Linked DNA regions of Tamandua tetradactyla. The protein of the gene in region 2 interacts with the protein of the main gene of each other region in a biochemical or structural test. Links are inferred from orthologs where the notes say so. Each region holds a gene or a part of one and is shown on either strand. Other genes may lie near its edges.

Evidence for each region.
Region 1: the proteins of THBS1 (region 2) and COL1A1 form a complex in vitro, tested with the Homo sapiens proteins (2 studies listed by BioGRID). The link is inferred for Tamandua tetradactyla from reciprocal best matches to the Homo sapiens genes THBS1 and COL1A1.
Region 3: the proteins of THBS1 (region 2) and PLG form a complex in vitro, tested with the Homo sapiens proteins (2 studies listed by BioGRID). The link is inferred for Tamandua tetradactyla from reciprocal best matches to the Homo sapiens genes THBS1 and PLG.
Region 4: the proteins of THBS1 (region 2) and LRP1 form a complex in vitro, tested with the Homo sapiens proteins (3 studies listed by BioGRID). The link is inferred for Tamandua tetradactyla from reciprocal best matches to the Homo sapiens genes THBS1 and LRP1.

Annotation. Positions count from the first base shown.
Region 1 is NC_135332.1:31,352,358-31,359,895, forward strand, and holds the start of COL1A1 (collagen alpha-1(I) chain), read right to left. Parts: upstream 3,006-7,538; 5' UTR 2,862-3,005; coding exon 2,765-2,861; intron 1,291-2,764; coding exon 1,096-1,290; intron 971-1,095; coding exon 936-970; intron 832-935; coding exon 796-831; intron 687-795; coding exon 585-686; intron 1-584. UniProt on the Homo sapiens protein: Type I collagen is a member of group I collagen (fibrillar forming collagen).
Region 2 is NC_135340.1:52,658,766-52,665,614, reverse strand, and holds the start of THBS1 (thrombospondin-1), read right to left. Parts: upstream 3,014-6,849; 5' UTR 2,648-3,013; coding exon 2,434-2,647; intron 2,123-2,433; coding exon 1,563-2,122; intron 709-1,562; coding exon 633-708; intron 317-632; coding exon 117-316; intron 26-116; coding exon 1-25. UniProt on the Homo sapiens protein: Adhesive glycoprotein that mediates cell-to-cell and cell-to-matrix interactions.
Region 3 is NC_135337.1:64,344,960-64,352,454, reverse strand, and holds the start of PLG (plasminogen), read left to right. Parts: upstream 1-4,494; 5' UTR 4,495-4,567; coding exon 4,568-4,616; intron 4,617-7,495. UniProt on the Homo sapiens protein: Plasmin dissolves the fibrin of blood clots and acts as a proteolytic factor in a variety of other processes including embryonic development, tissue remodeling, tumor invasion, and inflammation. In ovulation, weakens the walls of the Graafian follicle.
Region 4 is NC_135333.1:124,313,801-124,321,715, reverse strand, and holds the start of LRP1 (prolow-density lipoprotein receptor-related protein 1), read right to left. Parts: upstream 3,016-7,915; 5' UTR 2,590-3,015; coding exon 2,454-2,589; intron 1-2,453. UniProt on the Homo sapiens protein: Endocytic receptor involved in endocytosis and in phagocytosis of apoptotic cells. Required for early embryonic development. Involved in cellular lipid homeostasis.

The DNA.
Region 1 (7,538 bases), on a different chromosome or scaffold from region 2:
TAGTCCTGCAAAAAAAGTGCATCGCCTGAATCTAATCATGAGGACACTTCAGAGAAACCCAAATTGAGAGACGATCTACAAAACATTTGGCCTATACTCTTCAGAAAGAACCAGTGTTGAGAAAGGCAAAGAAAGGCTGATGTATGCCCCAGATTAAAATAAACTAAAGAGACATGACAATTCAATGAAATTCATGATCCTGGATTGTACAAAAATTGTTATAAAAGACATTGCTGGGACATTGACGATATTTGAATATAGACTATTTTAGATAATAGTATTGTATCTATGTTAAATGTAGTCATGTGCTATGGTCATGTAAGAGAATGCTCTTGTTTTTAAGAGATGCACACTGAAGTATTTTGGAAGAAAGAGGCATGATACCGCCAATTTTCAAAGGGTTCAGAAAAAATAATGATAATGCATATACATACAGACTGATAAAGCAAATGTGCAAAATGAGAGGTCTTTGCACTATTTTCGCAACTTTTCTGTAAGTTTGAAATTATTTCGTCTGTAAAAAAAAAAGTGTAGAGGGAAAGGAGCAGACAGAAGCCTTCCAGATGCCTCCACTCTCCACTTACTCCGCCAAGGCCAGGGGGTCCGGGGGGCCCAGGAGGTCCGGGAGGTCCGGGAAGTCCAGGCTGTCCAGGGATACCATCTCGGCCTGGAGGGCCTGCGGGTCCCTAAGGGAGAAGAGTTTGGGGGCGGGGTGAATGTCGGCCAGAGGCCACGCCCACCTGCAGCCATCCAATGGAGAGCTAGAGAGAGCGAGCAAGCTTGCGCAAGGCTTACCTTCGGGCCTCGTGGGCCGGTGTCTCCTTTAGGTCCCTATGAGGTTGGGGGAGAAGAAACAAAAGAGGTCGAGTTAGAGAAGGGCGGGCAGTGAGGAATCACGGCGGGTGGGGTGGCAAAATTCGAGGGCAAAGGATTACCTCGATTCCTGTGGTTTCTTGGTCGGTAGGTGACTCTAGGGGGAGAATGAGAGGCGGGTTAGAGGCAGACGCCTCCAAGGCGGGTTAGAGGCAGACGCCTGCAAGGCGCAGCGCCAGGGAGCGGCCCCGCCCTCCCCCAGCCCCGGGGCCGGAGCTCTACCATTGCGATCGGGGCAGACGGGACAGCACTCGCCCAAGGGGATATGGGCGCCGGGACAGTCCTGGCTTTCGCTGCATTTCACTTCATCACACAGCACTTTGCCGTTGTCGCAGACACAGATCTGGCAGGGCTCAGGTTTCCATACGTCTCGGTTATTGTACGTGATGCTATTTTGTATGCAGGTGACTGATGGGACTGAAGCAAGAGGGGGGCTGTCAGGGGTGCCCGAGACTTCCACCTCGGGGCCCCAACCCTCTTTCCCTCTACCCTAGAGACACATTTAGATTTTCCACTTCCCTCCTTATGCTCGACTCTCCCGCCTCCCCACCCACCCCCACCTTTCTCCAAATCCTTAAAAGCTCATCTGCTCCCCATCAGAGCCAGTGACAACGCCGAGGCTCCTGGCCAGCATAGCTATAACTCTTTCCAGTTCTCAGGAATTTAAACAAAACTTTAGGCGAGGGTTGCCCTCAACTCTAACCTCAGCCCATTGGTGCAGAAGCCAAGTGAAATAAAAAGCCGTTGGGGGTGGGTGGGGGGAGGAGAGAACAGGAACCGTCCTATCCAAAGGGCAGGCTTGCGGGGAGTGGTTTGGGGGAGACAGTAAGGGGGTTGGGTGGGAGGAGAGGAGGGAGCTCCAGTCCCCATTTCGCCCTGTTCCCTGGGCAGGTGGGGTGGCGTGGGCGGAGCTAGAGGAATGGGGAGGGGCTTATAGGAGTGGGGTCCCACCCAGAGACTTGAAATTGTACCCTAGAGTTAGTATATATCATAATCTCCAGAGCCAAGACATCTCAGAGCTCTCGAGGCCAACCTCCGTCTCCTAAAGGCAGACAGACCCTCTGGGTCACTTCTTAGCCAAAAAAACGAAAAGTCCGCAAGCAAACGAATCAGTTGGTTAACCACGCCCACCGCGCAAGCAACTACCCAGACCGCCACTAGGTGGCGGGCAACTCTAAGCAATGGGGACGTGGCGGGGCCAATTTCCTGGGATTCTTTTGAGTCAGAGGGCTATGTGGTCCCCGGCCTCTTGCTCCGGGTCTAGAGATGGAGTCCACGCCTGGCAATAACCCCTGTGTTTCCGACCCGGAACCTGCGCCCGGAAACGCTGAACAGAGAGGCGCAGTGCTGAGCACTGGTCAGCAGAGGACGCAAGGACCCCACCTTGCCAAGACCTCGCCAAAGTTTCTCAGCCTCCAGCCCGCCCACTCTCCGCGCCCCCTCCTCCCGCGTGTCTAGCCTGCAGAGAGGGCAAACAAACTTTCCTTATGAATCATCCCACAGCCATCCTGATCGCTTTTACGTCTTGGGCTCCAACCCCCCGGTTCGGCGCCCCCACCCTATTTTCAACGCGTCCCGCACTCCCCCTGCAGCCAGACCCCCCACTTTTCCTATTGCACTCGGCGGTGCGCCCTCGGGACTTCCCCCCCTGCGCCTGTTTGCGCCGCGCTTCATCCTTATCTCCCACTCCTGAGGGGAGTTCCTCCCCACCTCCCACCCCCGAGGGGAACTCCCTTCTCGCCCGGGGCGCCGGGGAAGGGTGCCTCACTATCTCCCTTCCATTCCCAAGTATCCAGAACATCTCGAGTCTCAAGTTAAGTGGCGGACCCTCGGGGCCGAGCGCAGGGCGCGATACTAAGCAGCCGTGTACTCCCGAAAGTTTGGGACTTACTGTCTTCGTCTTGGTTTTCGCCCTCCTCTTGGCCGTGCGTCAGGAGGGCAGTGGCCGCTAAGAGGAGCAGGAGCCGGAGGTCCACAAAGCTGAACATGTCTAGACCCTAGACATGTAGACTCTTTGCGGCTGGGGTAGGGGGTTAGCGCCCACTCATGCGTGGCCTCACACTCCGCGTGCCTCCTGCTCCGACCCCGAGGAGAAACTCCCGTCTGCTCCGATGGCCAGCCCGGGCCCCTTTTATACCATCCAGACCCGACGCTGGGAGGAACCCTGACCGTCGGGGAGGGGGAGCCCTCCGCCCGCCCCCCAGCCAATCACAGCTGCCTGGCCCGGCCCCCGATTCGGGAGTTGGAATAGAGAGGGGGAGGAAGAGGGAAGGAAAGGGAAGGGAGTCCACCCCGCATCTCCCCCCTTCGCAGCACTGCTTCCCCAGCCCCCCAGCCCAGCCTGGGCCAGAGATATCGCCGCTGGGGTGCGGCCGGGTCCTCAGTGTAGTGTGGGCTAAGGAGTGGGTGGGGGAGCCCCTTTGCTGTTCTCTCTGGAACTCCCAATCGGCCCGAAGGGCAATTGGGGAGCTGGGTGGCCAACCCCCCAAAAGTAAGAGGGCTGGGGATGACTGGGAGAGGTCCTCCTGGTCCAGCTCATCCACCTTCCGACACAGATAAGGAGACATCTGGGGAAAAGCCAGGGGACCTCTCCAAAGGAGGAGAATCAAGGAATTAAAAAGATGTCCCTCGTTGGGGTGTCTTCTGGTACGGTTGGGGTATGGAGCTTGGGAACATTTGAGGAACAAGTTAGAGATTCTAGACACTGAGAATCAGGTTGGGGGGGATGCCAAGGGGATTTTCATTTGAGGATGTCACTTCTGCCGTGCCTGAGGCTAGAAGACGGGCGGGCTCCAGTGTCCTCCCCCAAATCCTGGGCGCGATTGTGAGAGATGGAGTGGCAAGACCAAGGCACTGGGTGAGAAATGTGACTACATGGTGTCTCCAGAAGGAAGCTTTGGTGATGGGGCCCTGGGGTTGGGGTGTGTGTGCTAGGGCTGCTTCACCCAGAGTTGGGGAGTGAGCTTGGGGGGGGTGGGGCGACACCATAATCATTGTGTGAGGGGCTTGTGGCCAGGGACTGGTTAGAGACCCTCCCACCCAGCATAGTCAAACCAGAAAGAACTTGGGTGAAGAATGCTTGACCAAGGAAGGTGCCCCTTCTGGAAGCTGCATAGCCCCTTCTCCGGTTGAACCTGGACTCAGGGTTCCAGGTGTATGGGAGACCTGGGGTGTCTGGGGGAGGTTTGAAGTGGAATGCAGGAGAGGTTGAGTGACCTCATGGAGATGTTTCCCATCACCCCACCTCCTGCCTTAAAATCCAGACCATTGTTCTCTGCCTCTGGAGCCAGGAAAGAGTCATCTGGACCCTGAAAGGGAGTCGGGGGCTACTTTGGAAATGAGAAGTGGTTTCCTAGGCTATATTTGGGAGAGATACCTCCAGAAGTAAGTGTCTGCCTTCCCCAGATATTCTAACCTCCCAGCAGGGTTCTAGACCAACTCCAGTCTAACCAGGCCCCATCATCCTGCCCAATCTGTGGACCTAAGTGAGGGCAACGGGGCCCCTCTGCAATGCCCCGTCAGCTCCTCTCCCTCCTGCATGACTCCCCTACCCCCACTAGCTTCAGAGCTGCAAACGTGGAAGCGGGGAGTCACGCCTCCCCCAAACCATCCAAGATTCCATTGCTTCCCCCCCCCACCCCGCCCCTTTCCACACCCTCCCCCAGCTGGTTTTGTGCAACGAAGGCAAAGGGGGGAAAAAACCAAAAGAACAGAAGGGGAGGGAGCCACGTCGGCCATGGGCAGCCAGGATGAGCGGTACGGGTGGGGCAATGGAGGGAGACTGCAGGGGCTATAATTAAAGGGAAAATATAGTTTCCAGAGAGGCAGGGCTGGAGACAGCAATGGGGGGACAGACCTTCAGCAATTATCCTGACCATGTGGCAGCAGCTTGTGGCCCAGCAACTGCTCCCCCCAGCCACCCAGTGCCAGCGACAGCAGCATAGGTCCAGATACCTGAGGCGCTGAGATGGCCGTTGTTGGACCAACCCGTAGTCCTGCCCCCCACTAAGGATCAGTCCCAAGGGGCGCGCCCCTCACCCAGGGAGCAGAGGGAGCTGACATTTGGGGCGGTCACCCAGGCAGGGTGTCGGGGGGGGGGGGGCTCCGTGAGGAGGGGTGTGGCCCGCGCACCCCCCCCCCCCCCCCCCCCCGCAATGCTGAAGCTGTGGAGCCAGAAGGGCTCCTGCCTGCAGCTGTCTCCCCGTGCGCCCCGCCTGGGGCTCGCCCATGCCCACCTTAAAGAAGAGACAAGCCTCAGAGGTGGGGCTTAGGGCTGCCACATCATGGGTCTGGCGGTCTGGGGGGCGTTTGGAGACCCAGGGGCTCAGGAGTGAGTGGGCTGTGAGTGTGGTGTGTGACAGTTTCCACGCCAGTGTCCAGTTCCCGGCCTCACTCCCAGAGGCTGCAGCAGACGTTCCCAAGCATCCTTTACACGTGGCAAAGAGCTGAAGCCCAGGCTCTCCTTTGCCACTTTTTGACTTAAAACACTTGGCAGACACCCAGCCCGAAGATGTGTCTTTAATTTTTGCAGCATGACAGTGAGAGGAAGAATGTGCTTGGGGTCTCCTCCCAGCCTGGCTGGGCCTCCTTGGCCTGGACTGAGGACTGGAGACTGGGGGCGGGGTGGGGGGTGGGGAGGCGGGGAGCGTGGGCCCAATCGGGGAGGAGACGCCACCTCATCTTTAGGAAACTCTGAAGCTCTGGCTTCGGGTGGAATGTAAGACTTTGTCTGGCACTTGGGGGCGGGGGGTGAGCAAAAGCCAAAATCTCCTCTCCCCCCTGAAGAAATGGTAAAGTCATCAGCATTAGGAAAAAAATTCCTCAAAAAGAAAAACAGAAAGAGGAAAGTGCTGAGCTCTGAGTTCTCTCCCTCTCCAGATTTCCCTGTGTACCCCTCCCCCTGAGAAGGAGGGGCAGGGCTGTGTCCCCCAGCATCCCTGCTCCTGTGGAGTCCCTGCGGGGGGGGCAGGTCTGACTCCTTGGTGCTGGACAAGGGAGATGAGCCCTCTGAGCGAGAGGAGAGCAAGGGAGGGAGTGGAAGAGGGAGGCTGCGGTGGAGACCATGGGGTGAAGCTCCCCAGGGCGTCCACCCTGGAGCCCTGCCTGGTGTCCTGTGGAGGGGCCTGGGGTAGACCCCACGTGCGTGGGCCCTCTCTTCTTTCACGGCCTATGCCCTGAGGTCCCTTAGCTAAGCAGCTTAGCTTCCAGCATTCGGGCTTGGAGCTTTCTATGCCTCAGCCTCAGACCCAAGGCCTTGGACCTTCTGAGAGTTTCCTCCGTCCCTCCATTCCTCCTTTCCAGGTTCAGGGGGAGATGAATTCAGTTTTGCCCTTGTTGGGTGTTGGGTGCCTGTGAGATACTGAATAGGAAATGGGGAGAAAACCCTTGGGTGTCGGGGTCCGTGAGTCCAGGGAGACTGAAGCCGTGGGGCTGGAGGGACAGTGCGTGGAGAAAGCAGAGGTGAGGGGCTAGGACGGAGCCTGCAGGGTTGGGTGGAGGAGGAGGAGCCCAGCATGCGACACTGGGAGAGTGGCCAGAGAAGTAGGAGGGCAAGGAAGAGAGGGGTGTGGGTGTCATGAATGCCGAGGAAAGAGAGGGTTCTAGAAGGAGAGAGAATTCTATGCTGCAGAGAGAACTAGTACAACAAAGAATAAAATCTTCACCGAATTGAGCAGCATGACGGGGACTAGAGACCTAGGTGTGAGCTGTTAGAGTGATGGGCGAGGAAACCAGCTGGGAGTGGACTGAGGCGTGAGGAGGGGTGGGATGGAGTCAGACAGCAGACTACCCCTCGGAGGAGGCTGTGAGGGCAGCAGAGAGAAGATGCCTCAGCCTCCCTGCCTCCTTCTCCTCTTTTTCTTTCTTTCCCTAGGCTTTCCCCACTCCCTACTCCTTTCTTTCTTTCCCTCCCCTGCCTCCCTCCTCTCTCTCTGCTGTGTGATCTCTCTTCCTGCTCCATCCTCCCCATCTCTGGAGCCTCTATTTCTGGATTTCTGGTTTGTCCTGTTTTTCCCTCTTCTCCCTTTTCTCTTCTTCACAAGTGACCTGAGCCCTCAAATATCTTCACCCAGGTTCAGGCTCTACCTCATTCTCCCGTAGTGTGAGCCCTGAGTCCAGACCCTTGGAGATAAGCCTTGATTTCCAGTCCTGGCCAGACCCCTGCCCCATTCTCCAGGACACACACGCGCGCGCGCACACACACACACACACACATGCACGCACACACACATGCGCACACACACGCACACATGCATGCGCACACGCACGCGCGCGCACACACACACACATACACGCACACACGCGCACATACACGCGCGCGCGCGCACGCACACACACACATGCACGCACGCGCACACACACGCACGCACACACACACACGCGCGCACACGCGGACACACACACACATCATCCAAAGGGGGACCCCTGGGGAAGGAGGAACCGGGGAGGGAGGTGGGATGGGCAGGAGCGGGAAGGGCCTGGACGTGACCTGGGTATGCAAACTGACCGGTGGGGGGGTGCTGTCGGGAGCCCCTCGTCCTCACTGGGTGTACTCACCCCGCCTGAGTGCCCCACCCATCTTGCCTTCTGCAGGGTCAGTTCCCCAAGACAGGGGGACCTGCTGGGTCCTTCAGTGTGTCCCCAGACCCCTTCACAGTGGAGGTAGA
Region 2 (6,849 bases):
TGGCCAACTCTTTGTTCTCTTCAGTCTAAGAGAGGGAGAAAGATCATTAGTCATCCGGGATCATGTGCTAAACCTTCTAAGGCTCATGCTACAGGCCGACTGCAGAGGCCACTGACCACTTTGCGGATGCTGTCCTGAAGTGTGGTCACGATGGTGCGCAGGCCCCTGAGCTCCAGGACCATGTTGGACAGCTCAGCACAGGAGATGCCGCAGATGGCTTGCAGATCTTTTGTTTTGTGGCCAATGTAGTTAGTGCGGATAGCAGGGCTGGAACCATTCACCACATTGTTGTCGAGGGTGAGGAGGACATTAGTAGCTGCAGAGAAACAAAAGAAATGAAAAAAAAAAAAAAAGGAAGATCTAACAGATGCTCTCACAGCCAATCCCTAGAGTTCTTAGTTATAAAAGACATACCATTTTGAGTGAAGGGTTCAGGTGGAGGGGATGAATGTGTACGTGTAATACCTTTTTAGGTCACGTGTACAGCCTTTTAACTATATTACCCAGGGATAATTGATATACAGCCACCAATAATTGATATACAGCCACCATTGCTTAGGTTTCTCAGCTTGTTCTGGGTGGAACTCCTCCCTTGCTTTCCCCATATGCCCTAAAAATAGAAGGGTACTCACAGCTGGAGCAGCCTTTGTTCCTAAGGATGTCTTCTGGTGTGGTCCCAAACACAAACCTCACATTCTGCAGCACCCCCTGTGGGTAGAGGATACACACTACTTGTAGGATGTTGTCGGAGTAGGGGAGCTGTCTATGCTAGCAAAAGCACACAACAGATGTTCTAAAAGTTTAAAAGAGCTCCATTTACTATCATTATGTCAAAACAAGCCACCAATATAAATTGCCAAACAACTTCAAAATTTTGATTGTGTCTTCTGCCAAGTCTTCAGTATTTTACAAAGAATCCAGTTATCAGCCTACTTGGGAAAACAGGAAATGGAATCTGATACTAAGCCTGGAGGATATGACACTCTCCAGTGTCAAAGGGTTAAATGTGGGAGTTTCAAAGCCATAGTTGCAAAGATCTAGAAGTTAGGGCAAGGAAGAAGCTGCAGCAGATAGCCACACCTTCTGTTTTAACTTTTTATTTGGCACTGGCTGCATCCCCAGGAGAAATCAAACAGCAAAGTGGTCTTTATTCTGCCCATACAAAAAGTTTCAAGCAATATTAAAATTGGTGGAATGCATTTGAAATAGTTATTTTCCTGAGATGAACATAAGGAGTATATAAGGTTTGAATAGGCTGCTGTTAAAGAAAAAAACATTTCTTCTTTAATTAAGGTTTTCAAAGTGTGGTTCTCAAACTACCAGGATCAACATCACCAGGAACTTGTTAGAAATGCAAATTCTCAACTCCCACCCCAGACCAAATGAGTCTGAAACTCCTCCAGATGATTCTGATGCCCCCTACAGTTTGAGAACCACTATTTACTCTATAGACAATATTTCCCGTCCTGGAAGCCTTTCCCCTTGTCTGCCACAGCCCGCCTGACAGGTCAATTGGCTAGCAGACAATGCCATGAACTAGCAGCTCAGAGAAGAGATCTCACCTGGAAATCGTCGTTGGCACCTCCCTTTGCGATACGGAGTCTTGCAATGCTGGCCAGGTCCCTGGTAAAGATGCTTTGGATGGGGACGTCCAGCTCAGCATTCTCCATCTTCTCACAGTCGATGTATAGCTGGGCCCTATCCTCCTGCACAAACAGGGTGATGCTCTTCCACTGGCCAGTTGCCAGGAGTACGTCTTCCACTGACACCACCTGCTGCTTCCCCTGCACGGTCAGGCTCAGGTCCAGGGTGCCCGCCTTGCCATTAGAGACCACGCTGAAGATCTGGCCAGAGTGGTCTTTCCGCTCCAAGGCCAGCAGTGTGCCCCGGGTCTTCTTCATCTGCCTCAGAGAGGCCAGGAGCAGGAAACCTTTCTCTGCACGCACAGCATCCACTAGATCTTGGAACTTGTCATCAGGCACAGGGGGGATCAGGTTGGCATCCTCAATGCGGAAAGCTGGGCTGGAAGGGTCAGGGCCCTTCACCAGTCGACGCCCAGAGCCCTTGCGGGCAGCCCCAGTGAGTTCAAAGATGTCAAACACACCGTTGTCTCCCCCAGACTCTGTGAGACAGGAGCAGGATACACAGTGAGCTTTCTTGGCTGGGATCAGGGTTGCGGGTGGGGGCGTCAGCTTTGGAGGGTGGGGCCAGAGTAAAAACTCCTGGCAACCAGAGAGAGCTGAATTAACCCATAAGAGAAGAGGGCTGTATTCGGTTGTTTAATAGGGTTCAGGGTTAAAACAGCTGGCAGCTAGCACACAGGAGGACAACCCTAAGTGCTCAAACTTGGCCTGGCATTACAGCAGGCACACCTGGGGTAAACAGCACCTCCTCCTCTGCCCTCCTCCCTCTAAACGTATTCCACAGACGCACCTGGAATACGGTTGGTGCCACACACATGCAACAGGAGCAGGACACCGAGTCCCCAGGCCAGCCTCATGGTGGAGCTGGTTTGTGCCCAGCAGAGGAGCCTGCAGCAGAAAGCACAGAGTCCAAGGTCAGGGACCAGCCAAGCCAAGAAGGTGGGCGAAAACTGGCAACTGGGCTTAGGGCCAAGGCCCTGGGGTTCCCCTCTTTGGTCTCGCATTTGCTGGGATGACGGACTACAGAATTTACTTTTCAGAGGGCATCACGAAGAAAACGAGACGGATGGGACAGGAGATTGTGATTTTTAAGTATAGGGAACAATGACCAACAATCTGGGGGCTTTTCCTTGGGAAGTCCAGGGTAGACAGCTGAACAAGGAGATTTGTTTGGGGGAGCAACAAGGAAAAAGTAGACTTTTTTACATGAAAATCGATGTAAGAGTTTACAGTTGGCTTGGAGAATAGAAGAAAATGTTGAGGGTCCTGAGTGGAATTCAGTCGTGAACCCCAAAGGCAGGAGAGGATGGCTCCGGAGCCCTCCCCCGGAGTACCCCAGCGGCCCGGAGGACCAGAAAGGGGAAAACCAAGGAGTATGAGTGAGATCTGAGAGGCTCCGGAGGGGCTGTCGGAAGCCTCAAGCTCGAGGGTCATGGCCAAGGTCGGAGGAGCATCGGTCCTCCGCGGCCGCGGGGTGCGCTTACCTGTGTGGACGCCGGTGCAGCGGCAGAGTGGCGGCGCCGGGAGCAGCGACCCGCGGAGAGGCCTGGAGAGGCGCTGGCGCGGGTGGTGTGCCCAACAGGTCCGAGGCAGGAGTTGGAGGCTACGCCGGGACAGCTCGCAGGAGCCCCGAAAGCACTGCCAGGTTCGGGAGCAGTGGCTGGCGAGGCGGAGGAGCCGCGCACTTTTAAAGTGTCGTTCACATTCCAGGGGATTGCTCTGGCCAATCGGCGGCGGCCGAGCAGGAAGCGGGGGGTGGGGGACCAGTCTGGGTTTCTCTCCCCGCCTCCGTCCTCACCCCCCCGCTCCCACCTCCCCGCTGCCTGGGCAGAAAGTGAAGAGCTGGAGGCCAGGGTCGGGGGAGGCGGGCAGAGGCGCACTATGGCTTCTCCGAAAAATAGGTGCCCGCCCACGCAGCCTTGGCGCGCAGGGGCTCAGACTTGGGCTCTTGAGCCACGCGGGCCCGATGCGTTAAGTGTGAGCATCCCGGGCAGCGACGGGGCTTCGGCGACCCACCCAAGCCCCTTAGGATTTTCAGGCAAACCGGGCTCCTTGAATGCCTGGGCAATAGCTGAAGGGTGGATACTTGAGAAGGAACCCGTTTGTTAAAAAAAAAAAAAAAAAAAAACAAAACCTGATGGTAAATGGGACCATGAGAGTCCTTAAAGAATTGCCTCTTGCGTACTTGTCAGCATCCATCCAGGTTGGGTGGGGGGACCACCCGCCCGGGTCGGGGACTGATGGGAGAAGGACTTTGCGCCACGCTGCTGCCCTTGCTATCCCTCCCCATCCCCGGCGACCCCCGCCTGCCCTTCGCCTGACCCACTAAGGGAGGTGACTTCGGTGTCGCGCTGGGGCAAGCAGGGACTGTGTACGGAGCCCGGTGCAGCACGCTTTCCCGCAGTTGTGGCAGAAGTCCCTTTTGAAACTCGCTTCTCGGAATTGCTGCGGCGCTACCACGGCTTGCCGCTTGGGGGCGGTGTGCGTATTCGGATCAAGGGGACTACCAGAACAGTTTCTTTCTAGTCAGGAATTTTAGGGAAACTTATTCCTATCCAGTTCCCTCAAGCCAAAATTGAAATTGTGTCTTGAAAAACACTTTGTGTGCCCACTCGTGCTTCTTAACGTGACTCCTGGTTGGAGAATTTGCAGGACCATCTGACTCCAGAGTCCTAAACTATTCACAGAACAGACCTACAGAGTAATAAATTACCCTCTGCCTATCATTTTATTTTTCCTTTTCCTCACTAAACATTCTTTTCATTTTTCGGCTCCAGCAACCGAGGTGCGGGTTACATTTCTGTGGGAGCACACATTGCCATAAGAGCTCCTGCCTAAAGTTTCTGTCATTGGAAGTCTGGTCTCCAAGCCACTGTCCCAAGCCAGCATGACTCCAGCTGCCTGGAATTCCATTCATCTCTTCGGGTTGGGACGTCAGCAGCTGCCGCTTCGCTTCCCCTGCTATGGTCCTGCTCTATCAGGCTGGCCTCAAGACACAGGGTGCAGGTAGCAGTTTCACCAAATAAGGGCCTCAGCCACAGGCCGGGTTAACTCTGGGGTCCACCTCCGTTTCTTGGCACTTAAGCTTGGTAGAACTTGTAACTACTGGAAACACCCACGACTTTACAATCATCAAACAGCAATTTCACTTTTCTTAGGTGGGAGTATTCTGTGACAAGGAGCATGTGTGTATGTGTGTGGATTAAGTAATAAGCATTTTCCAGTTACTCAATATATAGACCAAACACGTAGAGAAAAACTGTTCCTAAGGCACATGTTTGTTTGTGGCTTAAGTAATAACTAAATTTGCCAGCTGGTTACATTTTCAGATGTTGAGAGGTAGAAATAAGTTTTTCTTTGATGACTAGTCAAATCAGATTCCTGTCCTAAAAGTCATACCTAATGATTCATCCAAACGGGGTCAGCAGCCATACGCTTTCCTTCCCTTCCCTCTCCTCTTCCCCAACATCAAGTTATCTCTTGGAAGGGTGATTTTTTTTTCCTTCTTGGAGCACAACTTGCCAACCAAAAATTCTTCATGATACCTGATATTTAAAAGCAGTTCTTCTGGAGAGATGACCTATTGATGACCCACAGGCTCCTCTGGACTACTTATTAATTTTGTACAGAGTTGATGAGGGCTTTTAGGTCCACAAAAGTGGGAAGCACTTTTCCTTAAAAGATGTCTCCATTAGGCTTAGCAGATTGCTCCTTCAGGCTGAAGGCTATGATGAGTGAGGGAGTGTAGCAGTATCTCCAGAGTTTTCTTGGAACTTGACTTTTTCCAACAAGACAAGGAAAATGATTTTTCTTTTCTTTTCTTTCTTTTTACCTTCTATATGCTTTACAAATAAAAAGATGAACTATATAACGGTAGGGAGCGCTTTCTTGTCGGAGAAAGCTGACAGCGGTACAGGGACTGTCCACCAACACAAAGCCCTTGCCCAGTTCGTAGTACTCCCGTTGTCCTGGTGGAAAGGATGGACCACAGGAGAGGGGATGTTAGGTTGGCTGTTAGAACCAACCCACGTTCCTCCTGGTCCCATGTGCTACAAATATTCCCCAAAAACTCAGTTCCCCTGGGAAGCTGTGGGAGAAGCAGGAATGGGAAAAGGGGGAAAAAAACTTAGCACCTTTAACATGGGAGATATTGTTCCTCTGGGCAATGGGTGCAGGAAGTTACTCTCGATTGAAGGGTGGTGACAGGGACCCAGTGTGGAAAGCTCTGTCTTTGCCAGCAGTCTTTCTCACTCTCCGTTATCCCTCTTTTCTCTACTCAGTTTTATGTTTTACTCATCTCAGTGCCTTCTGAGCCATCAATAAGTATGGGCTGGATTGCGTTTCACTGTGGAAACTTTTCTTTTCAAATATTTGCCACCTTATAAGAAGGCAGCTCAGCCAGAGGCAGCCTTACAGATCAGGGGGCTGGGAAACTACCCGTGTGGTTTTAATTTGATGGGCACCAAGCGTGCTTCTGCTTCCAGTTTCTGCTCTCTCCACCAGAGCTTAACATTCTACCAAAAGGAAAATTCAGAATTATTAAGTCAGAGGGAGCCATCTAGTCCAACTGCTTAGTTTTTTAGATGGAGAAGTTGGTTCAAAGAGGTGAAGTAACTTGAAAAAATTCATAGAGCCTGAGGGTGGTGGAAGTCCAGGAAATAACCCAAGTGTTCTTTCTACCTTCTGGCTCAGAGTCCTTCCCGTTATATTGTTTTGCTCCTTAAGATTAATTTCATGTGGTTTTGGAGACATTTCAGTTTTAAAATCAGCAGGATTTTGCCAGTTTACTATTCAAGAGCAAGTCATGTGCTCAAAATAGGGAGATAAGGAGAAGTAGGGACACTTAGGAGGTGAAGGTAAGAGAGAGGAAGGAAAGTCAGAAGAAGACATGGACTGAGCACAACTTGCCAACCAAAGGCCGAACTGCATGATCTCATTCCCTCCTCTCCCTGTAAAGAGAGTCCCAACTCCCCTAGTTTCCTTGCTTTCTTTTGAGTTTACTGAAACTTATTGTTGCTTCTGGGGATGGTGCTATTTTTGGCTTGAGGTTGTGGTTGCCTATGGAGTGGGCTGTCACCTCGGGTTCACTAGCTCAGGATGTGATGAAGCATCACTTTAATTCTTAAGTGGGTTTTGCAAAACTGGAGACAATCTAGCCTAGACTTCTAGAAACTGTGAAATACTCCCTGGTTTGTTCAACCCCAAT
Region 3 (7,495 bases), on a different chromosome or scaffold from region 2:
AACTTTCCTCTCCCTTCCTGGACGTTCACAAGGCTGTATTGGAGTGTGGTGCCCATGAGCTGGGATGCAGCTAGGAGAGGAGGGACACGAAGTCATTAGATGGGGTCTAGTCGAGAGGAGATTGTCCAGGCTGGAGCCTTGTTTTCCTGGCGTGCAGGGATGGTGGGTCCCCCCCTCTGAGTGCCCAGGAGGTCAGAGCAGACCTGGACTCCTTCCAGTTCTGGGATTCCAGACCCGTGTGCAGGAGCTGCTGCGTGAAGGGCATCAATCAGCACCTTAATAGGTGTGTCTGTCCAGGAGCCAGGAGGTTGGGGTGGCAGCGCAGAGACCTCTCCCACCCTGCTCATACGTGCCCCAAGCTCACCATCTATCAGTCAAAGGCTGAGTTTCTGCACCATGATTTCGAAATCCTGTAGCTTTAGCCTCTTCCTGCATAGGTTTCTATACTTTGGGAGTTCTCTTTCATATGCCCAAAGTATGTGCATTATCCTATCTGTGTGTACATATATTTTCTATGTTTTATTTTGAAATGATTATAAATGCATAAGAAGTTTTAAAATAGTACGGAGAGGCCCCAAATAGCCATGACCCATACTATACCAAAGGTGCCTTCGTACACAGCTATCGTACCTTATAAAACCAGGGAACTGCCGTCAGCAGGATGTAATGAATCCCCCAGCTTGCATCAGCTTTTACATGTACTCATTTTTTGTTTCTCAAAAGATTTTAGTGTTTCCCATGTGTTTTATTCTCCCAAATTCTGGGATACTCTTGAACGAAATGATTTTTACCTAAATTATCTTAGAGAATAATGAATTTTAGAGATGGAAAGGATGATTTGGTTTATCTCTCACATAAGCTCCTGTACCAGCCAGTGGATCTGGAACTCAGAGGAGTCCTGGTGCCTGATTCAACACAGGCTGGTGGATAATCCAGAAATTCCTATTTTCTCTTCTCTACTCATATTTTTCATAAGCATAATATACATCTGAGGAAGAGCTGCCTAATGGGTGCTACACTTTTTAAAAATGAGCAAACATCTCAATTTCTTCAAACACTCAATTAAGGAAATATTACTTTACTGAACATTGAATTAATCTTTCAGGCCTTAGGAAGTGTTCCTTGTGGATTACATTTTAACTACTGAGCTAACTGGGCAATCCTGTTATCTCTTTCCCGGAGGTAAGGGCTGATAAGCATCTTGTTACATGGTCTCAGAGACTGATGAACAAAGGCTAACAAACATGAGAGAAAGATCAAAAGAATGAAATGAAAGATAACTTTAGATCAATTAGAACATGTTTCCAAGGCAATATGTCCTTATAAATGACACAGTAAAAGCAATCTAAAAATTAGCATCAAGAGCATTTACCTTGCTAAGAACCCTTGCAAAAACAAAGGCATCTTTTGCTTGAGTCCCTAATACATTAATTATTTTTTGCTGTTCTCATTTTGAAATGACATGACTTGCTGAAGATACTCAGAGATTTTCCTGCTAAAACTATCAGCCATTTGAGAATGGCAAGTCGCCATTGACAGGAGGTCTGTGGGGTCAACAGGAAGCAGAAAACTTGTTTGGGAGGGAACTGTCAGGTGCAAATGTTCATGGCCAGCCTTTGAGGTCCAGGCTATGTGAAAGCCCATTCCCTGGGAGGTTGTGACCTGGGCATAGCTTCCACTTCAGACAAGGTGTGTGCAAGAAAGACTGAAGGTAAGACTGACCTTCCCTTGTGTTCATGAGTACAAGTACTTGCTTAGTACTTGCAAGGAGTTTACCATTTTAATACTGGAAGTATTGGGCAAATTCTTAAGAAAAACTGAGAGGACCCTGGTGGCATGTTCCAATGCTTGATAGAGCTATGGAAATTAGATTTGTCTTCCATTTTATTTTAAGATCCTGGGAGTAGCCAGAAGCTGGAATTCAACAGAACTTGGAGGATATGGGAGAAGACACTACCATGTACCTTGCTATGTGGCAGAAAATCCATGGACCAAGGATCAACTCAGGAATGATGTTACGGCGAATCCAACATCTACATAATTTTCCTTTTCCGGTTGTTTTCTGATTTGGGTGGATTGTGTAATTAGGTCGTCCTCACTGTGGCCTCTGCCCAGGCAGTCTTTAGTGCCTCCATGACATACCAGCCTCATGAGGACTCAGGGGAACATTGATCCAAACTTCGCTATTGGGCTGTTTGCTTCTGAGGCATGAGAAGAAAACAGTAGAATCCAGCACCAGAACACCACAGTTTTCTGGAAGAAAGCAATGCCTTGATGGCATCTCAACTTTGGACTTCTCTTAGCCTCAAACCTGTGAGTCAATAAATTCCCGAGGTTTCAGCCAACCCATTGCATGATATTTGTTTTAGCAACCGGGAAGCTAAAACATTGCCACAACCCTGTACACACTTTTGGTGATCAATAGATACATAATGAATTGAAGTAAATCAGAACACACATTTCAGAATTTATTCAACCTGCTAATAGTGTACAGAACTGAGCTCTCTTTCTATATCTCTGTTCTCAGTGCCTGCCATTCTTTCAAATAGAAAAGAATAATTACTTTGTACTCATTGTCCTTAGAGCCATGGGAAAACAACCATCCAATACCCCTCTAATAAAAGTGCTAGTGTGGAATTCATATGCACACTCATGAACACTTCATTCCTTTACGCCTAGTCTGTTCCTACAAGGCAAAATCACTTTTTTTTTTCCCGAGATGTAGGGCTGTACCATAATGGAAGTCTCTATAGCCTCCAACCCAGCCCATCCCTGAGTAGAGCTTCTACTGTTTTCTTCTCATGCCTCAGAAGCAAACAGCCCAATAGCGAAGTTTGGATCAATGTTCCCCTGAGTCCTCATGAGGCTGGTATGTCATGAAGGTACTGAAGACTGCCTGGGCAGAGGCCACAGCGAGGACGACCTGATTTACACAATCCACCCAAATCAGAAAACAACCGGAAAAGGAAAATTATGTAGATGTTGGATTCGCCGTAACATTATTCCTGAGTTGACTTGTCCATAAGATGGTACTGAAACAATATTTTAGATGGAAATGAAAGCACACTGGAAACATGAAAATAGTTAGTAGAGTCTCACCTTGTCCCAAAGGACTTTATACTTTCTGAAAGATGCCAACATAACCCAGTAGAAGACATTTCACATGTTTTGAAAGAAGTCTGGCCAGCGCTGATGTCCACCTTTGGTCTCCATTAAATACGCTTGGCCTTTAGGTGAGAAGAAGAGGCTAAAGGGAGGAAATAGCTGAGAGAGGAACGAATAGGCAAAATCGTACACGGGGGATGTGATTAGCTCATCGTGGCCCCATTGTGTTTTGAAATCTCTGCCCAGCACTTCACTTGCAGGGGCTCCAGAGGATGTTCACCCGGATGGTTGGGCCCCCAACTCTACACTTTGCTAGTTGATTGATAGGAAAGCATTTCCCAGCCTTGGAAGAACAGTGTACGCTTTCTTGTAAAAGGACAAGAAAGCGTACACTGTTCTTCCAAGGTTGGGAAATGCTTTAAATAAATTAAATTTAAATGCTTTAAATGCTTTAATAAATTAAATTTAAATGCTTTAAATAAATTAAATTTTATTTAAATTTTAAAATAAAAAGGTCAATTGAACTATTCTTGAATAATTTCTCCAGAGGATTAGGAATTTTAAAGCACATTCTACATCACCACTTTAGTGTAAAGCCAGGGAAAACACGGAGTCAAGTATTAAAATTGAGACACACTCTTTAAAATTTAAATGTTAAACTCTTACTTTATTTTGTGAAGATGAGGATATACTACATGGTGAATTAAATTGCTGAAAGGATTGATATGTCAACAAAATAATGTACAATTGCAGGCAACATCTGAGCCCATTGAGGATAAGGAAATTTAAATATAATAAAATATTTTAACTTAGGTTTTAATTTCTTCACTGTTGGGTAGGATGTTGGAATTTTAACAATCACACCTTAGCTTTTAGTGTGTAATCTAAAGCCTGTACAGTTTGTATCTATTATCTTCACTTGTCATTAGCCAGGTAACCTTGGTCAAACCCTCTAAGCCCTAGTTCTCTCATCTTAAAATGGGAATGATGATACAGTGGTTAGCTCGGTACATGTTGTGAAGTTTGAATGAACTTATATCCATGCACCACTCAGCAGTGTGTGGCATGGAGAAAGGTCTCAGAAAATGTGAGCCTTGATCATGAATTTTTTAGCCTAGAAGAAAGGGAATGAAAGGAGGGGGAAGGAAGCAGACTAAGCGGGAAAGATGAAGAACTGGGTTTGGAGGATAAAGGGAGGCCAAGAGGGGGGCGGGCAGCAGGGTGCGGGAATACGCTTTCAGCACTTCCCCGCATCTATTGCCCATCCCGCCATGAAGCATTTTGTAAGATCCTCTGGCCCCGGTAATGTTTGAACGCTTTCGAGTGCAGTGGCATGGGCCTTCAGGAGAATCATTAACTTAATTTGACTATCTTGTTTGTGGGGGCAGCTTCTCTTAGATGAGTCAATATCATTTTGGGATTGGGACACGCTGTTTTCTGGACCTTGCTGGCCAGTCCCAAAATGGAACATAAAGGAGTAGTCCTTCTGTTTCTTTTATTTCTGAAATCAGGTAAGACTTAGACATTTTTTATTTTAATGAGTGTCTTTATTCCTAGCCATGTATTCAAAAATAGATGTGCTCTGGATTTTGCACAGTTTGTTCAATTTAGCTTTCATTTTATGAGATTTCCAGCTCAAAGTCTAATATGAGCTTGAGGAATTCTTGAAGAAATAAGTCTATTTTCCTTGTGAATGTTGTCACGGTGGTGGAAGCGAATGGGCAGAGGAAATAATGAATTATTTTTCAAACCTCAGAGATTGAGTCCAAGTGATTATTATTTTGGCTGAAAAAAAAGTAGCCAATATAGCTAACACCAAAATTCGTTAGTCCATTTGCCTGGCTATTAGTTTGAAATTGATTAATTTAGAATATTTTCATTAAAGTATCATGCTCCATTCACTTCAAAATTTAGAACGATGAAATATGTTTTCCAGTATATGATATTCTTAGACCATCTGTGCAATTGCACACACCACTTCCCTATTTGTTAAGCTCAAGGGAGGCTTTTCTGTACTTATGTATTTGCTTCTTATGCATGGAGAAGCTATATGAATGTATTTGCAAAATGATGTGTGCATAAACAAATTAAACAATTCAAAAATAGTCATTTAGTGTTGGGGGTAAGCAGAAATTTTTTCATAAACCCCCACATACACCCACACCCACACATCCTATGCTAATATTAGCTTATTTAGCTAGTGAGATGGATTATAGATTTTATCATCTACAGATTATATTGAAGAAATCTAGGCTTAGAGAAATCGTGCTATTTGCCCATTGACTAACCTCCTGAATCCAGAAAGTGAAGAAACCAGGATGTAAATCCAGGTTTTCTAAGAAGAAATCTACTGCTCTTCTTACTTTTTCAACTTTATTAAACCTCCTTTAAAATGTTCTAAAACTGTCCTGTTAGTTCTTCTTTCAAACAACGTTATTGAAATTTAATTCACGTACTAAACAATTTTCACATTTAATTGGTAAAATTTAATGGCTTTTAGTACATTCACAGAATTGTGCATCCATCAACACAATCAATTTTAGAATATTTCATTACCTTCCATAGACACTCAACATCCCTTAGCTGTCCCCTTCTCTCCCTCCATCCTCTCATCCCCCAGCCCTAAAAAACCACTAATCTATGTTCTGTTTCTATAGATTCGCCTATTCTGGATATCTCCTATGATGGAATCCTACAGCATGCTAATAGGCATTTATATAAACAGTTTACAAGTATCTAATATTTGATTGATAAATTATCAGGTAGATTTTTACAAGTTGAATTTTAAATTAGAATCAAATACATTCATTTTGGTAGAAGTCATTAAAACAAATATCAAAGAAAATATAGAGCAGGAGAAGATGAAACAGAGATTTTTGCGGGAGATGGTTGTAAGTAGGGTGGGGGGTGAGGGGCTAGGGCAGGTATATTCTATTTCAGTCCATGGAAATTGGCACCTGGAACATTATGAACTTATTCAGTTGGCTACACCCAAATGTTTAAACAAGCTTCTCTGCAACAGGATTAACATATGTTTTAACCGCCACCCCTCCAAATCCCATCGTTCATAAACTCTTCTTGAAACTAAGGCATTTGCTCTCACTTTCCTTGGACATATGTTTCATCTTTCCACTGTTCTGGAATGCTTGGGAGAGAAAAAAAAATATGAGACTTGGAAAAGCATTTTACTTTTCATGGACCACTGAGTCTTTTCTTTCAAACACAGAAGCGTACATATACACACGCACACGCTAACACACACACACTCTCACTTTTGCTCACATTTATTCCAAATTACAACTCTATATGGTTGAAAAAATATACCAGCTTTGATAGCAATATATACCTATATTTGGTCTATTATGCAAAAATGCTTTTCCTATTAAAAGATTTGTTTAATGTTTCTTCGTCAACAAATAAACCATATTATACCTTTTGACACATAAGCCCTGATGCTGAAAAAGGTAAAAAGCAATTGAGGGAAAAGCTTTTTTTTTTTTTTTCGCATGGGCAGGCTCTGGGAATCGAACCCAGGTCTCCGGCATGGCAGGCAAGAATTCTGCCCCTGAGCCACCATTGCACTACCCAGGGGAAATGTTTTTAAACAAAAAAGAAAAACAAAAGGTTCTCTTCTGAGATATTTCTTTAGGACATCATTTCCTAATGTGGATCTCATAATCTATACATTCTCTAATCTGTTATGTATTCACAGGTAGCATAATTAAAGGGTGATGTAAAGGGAAATTTCTTCATTTTAATTACCACTTACAGCCTGGCCTGGTACACCTTCCATAACTCTCCAAAGTGTTTAACTCCTTATGGAGCATTCTTTATTGATTTATTGTGTTTGCATTTCAAATCACATCATAATCTATAGAATGTACCAATGCACAGCTCTTCTTAGAATTGAGAGTAAAATAGGAAGAAAATGACGTGTGAAGACATGTATACAGGTTTACAATGCATATTTTTCTTTACTGTTTTGATACATTTATCAAGGACTTTTTGGTGTATTAAAGTTTGCATTAAAGTTTAAATGGCATCAGCTACCCTCCTGTTTAGTAATCCATTCTTCCAATTCGAGTATCTTAAATTGAGGAAGGATGAAAGCTTAGGTGTAGGGAAAGGGTGAACTTTGGAAGGTGACTTTGTATTAACTTATTAGGGTACATCCCCTCCCTCCTGTTCAGTGTATTTATTTTCAGGCTGCTCAGGGAAGGTCTTTCTGAGAGTGAGAATCTGACTTGAATAAACATTTCTACTGAATAATGCCATGAACATACAGAATGTCTTGTCTTAAAAAGAAATCAGGAACTGCCCCTTTCACAGCTAGCCTTTTGAAAAGACTTGTCTTCCCTGGCAGGCTTCCACAAGCATTGACCACATTGAG
Region 4 (7,915 bases), on a different chromosome or scaffold from region 2:
GCATTTCCCCGCAACCCACGTCTGCCTGGGGCTGTCCTTCCCATTACACAGCGTTCCCTGATTTCAACCAGACCCTCGAAAACCCCTCTTCCCATTCGCCATCCCATCTGGCTCTCCATCCTCCCCAGCAGCACCAGCACTGAGTACTAGTGGGAACTAACACGACTCCCCAGAGAGGACTGTAGGGTGGATTTAGGCACAGAGGAGAGGGGGAGGCCCCTGTGCAGGGAAAGCAGCAGGGCCTGTGAGAGCAGGAGGAAGGGAGGTTAGGACCAAGCCAGGGGGCGTCCTTCTCTGGAAGCAAAGGAGAAAGCTCAGGGTGTGCACCTGAAGCATGAGGGTGGGGTAAGGATGAGAGGACCCTTTGGTTGCCCCAGGATAAAGACAGATGGTGGCACAGTTCTGGGCAGTCACCGGTCCACTCCCCAGCCCTGTCCATGGGGTGGACCTCATCGCACCAGTCCCATTCCCAGGATGAGAGTCACGGTGTGCTTTGGGGGAGGGGTCCTCTTTCTAGGACTTTGGGAAGAGGTGTGAGCTGGGGCTGCAGCAGGGGATTTTAAGGAAGGATAGGGAGATAGTTAAGGAAAACTTATCCCATCTTCCTCCTTCTTGAAGGAGGAGCCAGCTTGAGGTGGTGATTACAGCCCTTTAGAACTCTGGGAGTGAAGCTACCTGGAGCCCATTCCTGGTCAGGCTGGGGGCCTTTTCTGCTTTCCACAGAGACCCCTTGCTTTTGCCTAACTCTGTCCACCCTCTTTCATGGGGTTCCTGATGGGTCTTTCTCTTTCTCTTTCCATACTAAAAAATATATATATATATATATATTTTTTCCCTATCCATTCCCAGAACTGCAGCACTAAAATCTCTCTGCCTCAGTTTCCCCTCCCAACCTACAGAGCTGAGAAACAGAGGCAAGAACTTGCATGACTGAGGGAGTCATGGGCAAAGGCTGGCTGTGAAGGCTGGTCTAGAGGATATTCAGGGCAGAGTGCCTTTCTTTCTCTTGGACTGATAATTGAGGGAGTGGGAGGGGGTGCAAAGAAACAGAGCCCTGGATGGGATAACTGAGGGCCACTACACATATCCTCAGTATTCTGGGCATCGTTGCTTCCTGACCCCATAAACCCCTCCCCCAAGTGAAGCAAGCTCCAGGGAGGGCAGGAGAGGGAGAGATAATCTGGTTTCAGGGAAAAACTTTCCCAATCACAACCTGGCAAAATTCAGAAGATGGAGGAGGAGGGGGAGGTAAGGGAAAGGAGGACAATTGCTTGTTGCATGATGGTATCCGGCCCAGTCCCCGGGCCCAAACCCATAACCCCAGCACAAATCTTGGGCAAGACTTGAACAAGTGAGTCACAAGTAAAAGGGAAAAAAAAACAGCTGACAGAAAAAGGCCAGAGGGTGCATCCCGTTTCCCCAAAGGGACACTGTTCGTTCTAGCAGAAACCTAACTCTGCAGTATACAAAGTATGTATATATCTGGTTGAGGTAAGGTGGGATAAATAAACACATTTACCAAAGGATCAGGGAATTGGGGTATGGGGGTATGGCTATAAACCTAACCCACCCTCCAACTCTCCTTCTAGACCCAACTGTGATCAAGCCAGAAGCCAGGGAGAAAGCAGTCCCCCCACCCCCACTCCAGCATTCCAGGCCATTCTTCAGTACCCTTCCCCAATGATGACATATGACGTTTTTTCATCTCAAACCTCCCAGGAATTAAGAAGGAAAATTCAAAGTCACAAAGCATCCCCTGCACCCCTTTAGCCCCCCAGTACAGCTCTTCCCAGGCTACTGACAGAAGTCCTGAGGCCAGGAAGTGCCGACTCCAGAACGCAGGCAGGCGCCCTGCTGGATCCTGGATCCAGGCCTCCAGGCCTGGGCTCCCGGGCCCAGATTCCACACCCAAGCAGGGGGCCTTCCCCATGGCCCTCCCTCTCCCCACCCACAGCCTTCTTGGGCCTGCCTGCCCTCCGCCCAGCAGGGCATCCCTGGCCCTGCTACCCTCTTCAGCTTCAGAGGCCAAGGCAGAACCCCACCCCCCCCACCCCCGCCCCCTTTTGCAGCCGCACATTGCAAACCAAGATTCCTTCACAATTCAGATTGGGGAGGGGGATGCAGGATGAAGGGGAGGCAGAGGCCCTCCCGGACAGAGATAGGAATAGAAGGCCTTTGGATCTCAGGATCAGAAAGGGGGAGCCCTCATCTCCCTACCCAGGCCTCTGGTCTTTGTCTGGGCTGGGGGGTCCCTGAAGCATCATTTGCCCAGGCCCCCATCCCCCCAAATCATACCCCCATCCCCGCCCCCAGTGGGGCCGCTGCTGTGTCAGCTGGACTGGGATAACAAAAGACACCCCCTCCCACGTCTCTGTTCCCCGGCTCTACGCAGGAGTGGGGGCTGGGGAGGGGGTGTCCCCGGGGGTCCAAGGGGGCCGCGGAATCTCACTCACCGTCGATAGCCGCCGCGACCAGAGCTGAGAGCAGGGGCAGCAGCAGCAGCAACGCCGGGGTCAGCATGATGTGGGCTGATGCAAGCAGCAGCTCCCTCCCCCCGGGTCCTGCTACTTCTTGTCTTCGCCCCCCCATTTGGGGGGATCCCCCCTTTTCCTCCTTCCCCTCTTCTTCTCCGCTATTCTGATCCTTTCCTTTGGCAAAGCGCACCAGGGGTGTAGGTGAAGAGGCAGAGTTGGGAGTCCCTTGCGGAGGGCCTGCTGACGGGGGTGCGCCCTCTGCCCCCAAATCCAAACCCCTCACCCCCTGCTGTTCTCCTCGCTCTTCTCTCCCCCTCCCGGGGCGAAGCTCACAGCCCCATCTCGGAGCCGCCTCCGGCTGCAAAAATGCACAATTGGGAGGAGGCGGGGAGGGGGGAAGGTAGGGGGCGTGGACCGGGTGGGGGAGCCCTTGAAAGGGGCCTGATGGAGCTCTGGGGGCTCCCCTCGTTTCCGCCTCCTCAGTGCACGGGCCCGGAGCTCACACCGCTGTTCCTTGGACTGAGATGCTGCGGGGGGGCCGAGGGGGGAGAGGGAGGGGACCGGGAGAGGAGCGAAGGAGGGAGGGAAGGGGCGGGGAAAGAAAAAGTGTAGGGGGGGGGGTTGTAGAAAGAGCTACGCGGCAGTCCTGGCAGTGCGCATGCGCCGGTTTGGCGCGCTGCCCTGGGGAGGGGGAGTCGGAGGAGCACCGAGACTTGAGCTCTGAAGCGGTCGGAGTGTGGGGGTCCCGGGCATCCGCCAGTCCATTTGGGACCCGCAGCGCCCTCTCCCCTGAGTGGCCCCTTGCTCTGCGCTCCAGAGAGCTGAACGGGCGAAGTGGGGAGATGGGCAGTGGGCGAGGAGAGCCGCTCCTCTTAGAAACTCAGAGTCGTACCCTAGGATTTCATTCCCCCCCCCAACTTCCCAGGGCTGGGGGTGTCCAAGACTCCGAGGTCTGCTGACGAGGCCTCCCCCGCCTAGGGTGGGGGCGGGGCCGCCAGTCCGCCGGGAAGGTGTGGGGAGAGGCCGGGCTTTGATTTGGAGACTTTGTAATACCGGGACCGGGATTGGGGCCTGCGGCGGAGGGGGGCGGGTGGAGGAGGGGCCGCGAGGGCCCGCCCCCTGGTCGCTCCGGGGTTCGGAGTAAACAGGGACACCCGCGGGGACACGCCAGAGCTTGTCCGCCTGCCGAGGGCTCGGGGATGGAGCCCACCTTAGCACCCGCCCCGCCCTGCTCGCCTGGCACCGGGCGCGGGAGGGGCAGGCTCTGGTTTGGAGGGAGGTGAGTCACTAGCGGGTGGCGTTGAGGAAGGGCCACCCCCCTTCGCCCCCAAGAGGTTGAGGCTCATTTTGTTTTGTTTTTTTGGTTTTGTTTTGTTTTGTTCTAATCTTCTGGCTGGCTTCCCACCAAGTCAGGGTTTTAGATTCCTGAGCACCAGGGATTTGGAGTCAGAGGAGAGACTCTGCACCTCTCTGCTTCCAGCGTGGGGTTCTAAGGGGGTGTCTGCTGAGAGACCTTTGTCCCCAGCCCGGAGCCTGTACGGGAATGCTACTTTGAGTCCTGAAGGCGCTGGGGGTTCCCCGAGTCCGAGAAGGTGCTTCTGGCTACTGCCCCCTTCTGGGTGGTGTCTTCAGGCAGTATCCTTGGTATCTGACTTTCTGGATGTGTGGAAGTCAAGAGTTCAGAGACCTGGGGCTGGAGACACTGGCAGCAGGAAATCAACCTTAGAGATGAGTAACAGTTGCTGCACCCTTCTCCCTTCCTAAAAATCTAGTCAAAAAAGGTCCCAAGTCCTCACTCCAGTCTTTCCCTTACAGGGACAGCATGAAAAAATTGTTAGTGGCAGTGGGAGCACGAGAGGACTCCAGAAAGAACTTGACCTTTACCAAAACCAGGGATTCTTTCGAGCCCTCTTTGCTGCTTTGCAAGCCTGTGTTCAAGGCTTGTCATTTTTTCCTTGGAAATATATCTCAGATTTCCTCCATTTCCACTGCATGAGAAAGTTTCTCCAGAGGGGCTGGGGTCTTATTCATCCTTGTATGCGGACCTCATGGCCTAACTCCTGGCAGGGACTCACTAAATGCTTTTTAATGAACGCTACTAGATTCCTCCCTCTCCCAGGGCCCCCTCGGAACATTCCAATCCAAGTGAAATCAGGTGGAATCGGACTTCTTGCAGCTTTGAAAGGAAAAAGGTATCTGAGTGACTGTGTGGCCCGAGGGGGCAGCCTCATTCCTTTCCCTTCCATCTGTCTTATACCTGTGAATCGTCTTAAAACTCGGCCTTCTCCCTGTCTCTCCCTTGCTGGTGACCCTCTCCTGGGTATTTATAGGCAACTGAGTCAAGTGTGAAAGCTTCTCCCAGACAGTCACGGCCTTTCAAAATCTGGCCTCAGCCAGCATATCAACACTGACCTCTGGCTACCTCCTCGCTCCTGCTGTTTCCTAAATGTGAATGTGTATTTATTTTTTAAGAACTTTATATTGTAAAAAAAAAAGAAGTGCATGCCTAGTGGTTTTAAAAACTCAAAGAGGATAGAAAGGTACAGGTGAAAAGCAAACTTGCCACTCTTCCACACTCCCATTCCTCAGCCACGTCCCCAGAGTAACCGCTGCTAATAGTTTCTTTGGTCTTCTTTTTTTTTAACGTTAGACAAATATTAATGAATATCTTTAAATAACACAAATGAGCTCCTACAATATTATACTGTCCTATACCTTGCTTTGTTCAATGAACTCATCTTGATTCCTTTCTGTATTATACTTACATGTCAAGCTCATTCTTTATATTGGCCACTTGGGATCTCCTTGCTTGGACACTCCATAATCTGTTGGGATGGTTGGGCACCTGGGTAGTTTCCCGTATGTGGACTGCTGAGGGTGTCTCTAGGAGAAGAAAATGCTCTTTCTACCTGAGCCTTTGTTAAACTGTTCCCCAGCTTCTTTCTGCCCTCTTCAGAAAAACTTTCCTATTACTCTATCTCTGCCTATCTATCTGTTCTAAACTTGCACTCATGGTAACCTCCGGCCCCAGAGTTTAGCGCTCGATCATATGGGTCCAGGGTCCACCACCAGACTATAAACTCCTTGAGGGCAGGGACCATGTCTTTTACTTCTTTGTATCTACCTGGGCTTAGCAGTTCTTGATTAGTTTGTAGGGAGGCTGGCAGGAATGTTAGGACTAGGGGTACCTGACCTGGAGGAAGAGACAGTCATAAATAATTGATGTCAGATGGGATATGACTGTGAGCAATCTCACTTCCCTATCTTTTCTCTTATAGTATTCATCATTCAGTCCCTCTCTGCCTCAGTTTCTCCTCTTTCTTCCCACTGCTGTTCTTAGGAAGGTTTTTCTGTCCTGAAATTTGGGAGATGGAATTTGGTGAAAGTCATGGGAAATCAAGGAGGAATTCTCTACAATCCATTACTGGGAGACCTAGAAAGCTGAGAGTGGGCAAAAAAGTTTGGACCACTCTCCCCCCAATCCCCCCCCCCATCAGCAAATTGTTAAAAACCCTCCCTCCCCCTCCCTTTTCTGCCTGGGTACAACAGGGTCTGGGATAGGGCAATAATGGGGCAGCTCTGGGACTGAATTTCAGACCACAAACTGATACCACCTAGTGGTCAGTACTAGAAGTGTGCACAGGAAGGGGTATCTTTGAAGGGTCTGGTGGAAACTGGAAAGAGGGAAGAGCGCCAACAATTATTGAGTACTTTACAAGTGCCAGGCACATGCAGTGAATTTTATATGGATTCACTTCCTTAAGCCTTTTAACCACCTTGTGACGTAGGGGTTATTTCCAGTTGGTAGATAAGGAAATAGACCCTCAGAGAGATGAAAGAATCGGCCCCCAATCATAGTGCAGATTTGTGCCCATGTTTCACTCATTTAATAAACATTCATTGGGTATGTCACCTGCCAGGCACATTACAAGGCACTAGGGACAAGAGATTGAAACACACCCTCTCAGGCTTCAAGAAGCTCACAGATGAGTGGGGTTGCTCAACAGGTAATTGACAGTCACAGCACAGGACCTGAAACCTATGATAAAGACATGCACAGAGGGCCCTGAGAACCCCGAAGGGACACTTATTATAGATGAAGGGATCAGGCCAGAGCAGGACATGTGAAGACAGGATAAATGTTGAAAGAGACGAAGGAGATGACAAGTGAGGAAAGTAGGAAAGGGTATTTTAGGTAGGAAGGAGGAGAGGCTAAAGGAGTAAGTTTAAAACATTTGGGAAACTGAAAAATGTGGTATGGATGAAGTTTGAGGTACTTTTTGGGAGGGTACTGGGTATGTCACAAAGGCTTTTGTGTGTCACACTAAAGACTTAGCATTTTTTTCTTTCTTAGAAGGGATAGGGAGCCAGGTGAGAAATGATGTTTTTAACTAATGCACTAGTGATAGAATTGGAGAGGAAGAAAAGAATTCTAGAGGCATTAAGGAGGTAGGATCAAGTATAATAATTGGTTTTTCATGTAGGTCTAAAGGATGGTGACAGAGAGAGCTGGGCCTTTGAGAACACATTAGAATGTTCTCAAAGCTCTCAAATTTTAGCTGCACATTAGTATCACCTGGGGAGCTTTTAAAACTCCCAATACTGAAGGATTTATACCACTTTACTTCAAGACTTGTTAGCTACAGTAATCAAAAGAGTGTGGTAAGAGCTTAAGAATTGACAAACAGATGGAACAGACTAGAGAACCAGAAATAGACTTGCACTTAAAGGTCATTTGATTTTGACAAAGGCGTCAAAGTAATCCAGTGGAGAAAGGGATGTCTTTCAACAAACGATGTTGAAAAAACTGAAAATCTCTATGGGAAAATAAATGACTCTTGATCCCTACCTTATACCATACACAGAAGTTCATTCAAGATGGATCATAGACCTAAATCATAAAAGTGAAAATCTTAAGGCTTTTAGATTAAAATTCAGAAGAACATCTTCAAGACTTGGAGGTAGGCAGAAGTTTAAGTCATAGAAAATAAAAAACCTTGAAAGAAAAAAAAGATAAACATGAAAATTGAAAACTTTTGCTCATCAAAAGACACCACTAACAAAATGGAAAAGTAAGCCAAATAGATAAGTAAACCATTGATCTGACAAATTACCAATTTCTAAAAAAAATGGAGAAAAGATTTGAACACATACATTACAAAAGAACATATACGAATGGTGAATAAGCACAAGAAAAGTATTCAACATCTTTAGTCATCAAGAAAATGCAAATTACAATCTAAAAAACAGAGAGAGACCAATGAGACATTGACAATTAAATGCAATACATGGTCCTGAATTGGATCTTATAACGGAGGAGAAAATCCCCAAAAGGACATTATTTGGTACAATTGAAAAAATTGGAATATAGACTGTGTGTTTTATATCAATGTTAAATTTCTTAAACTTGATAATTGTATTTAATGTGGTTACATAAGTGA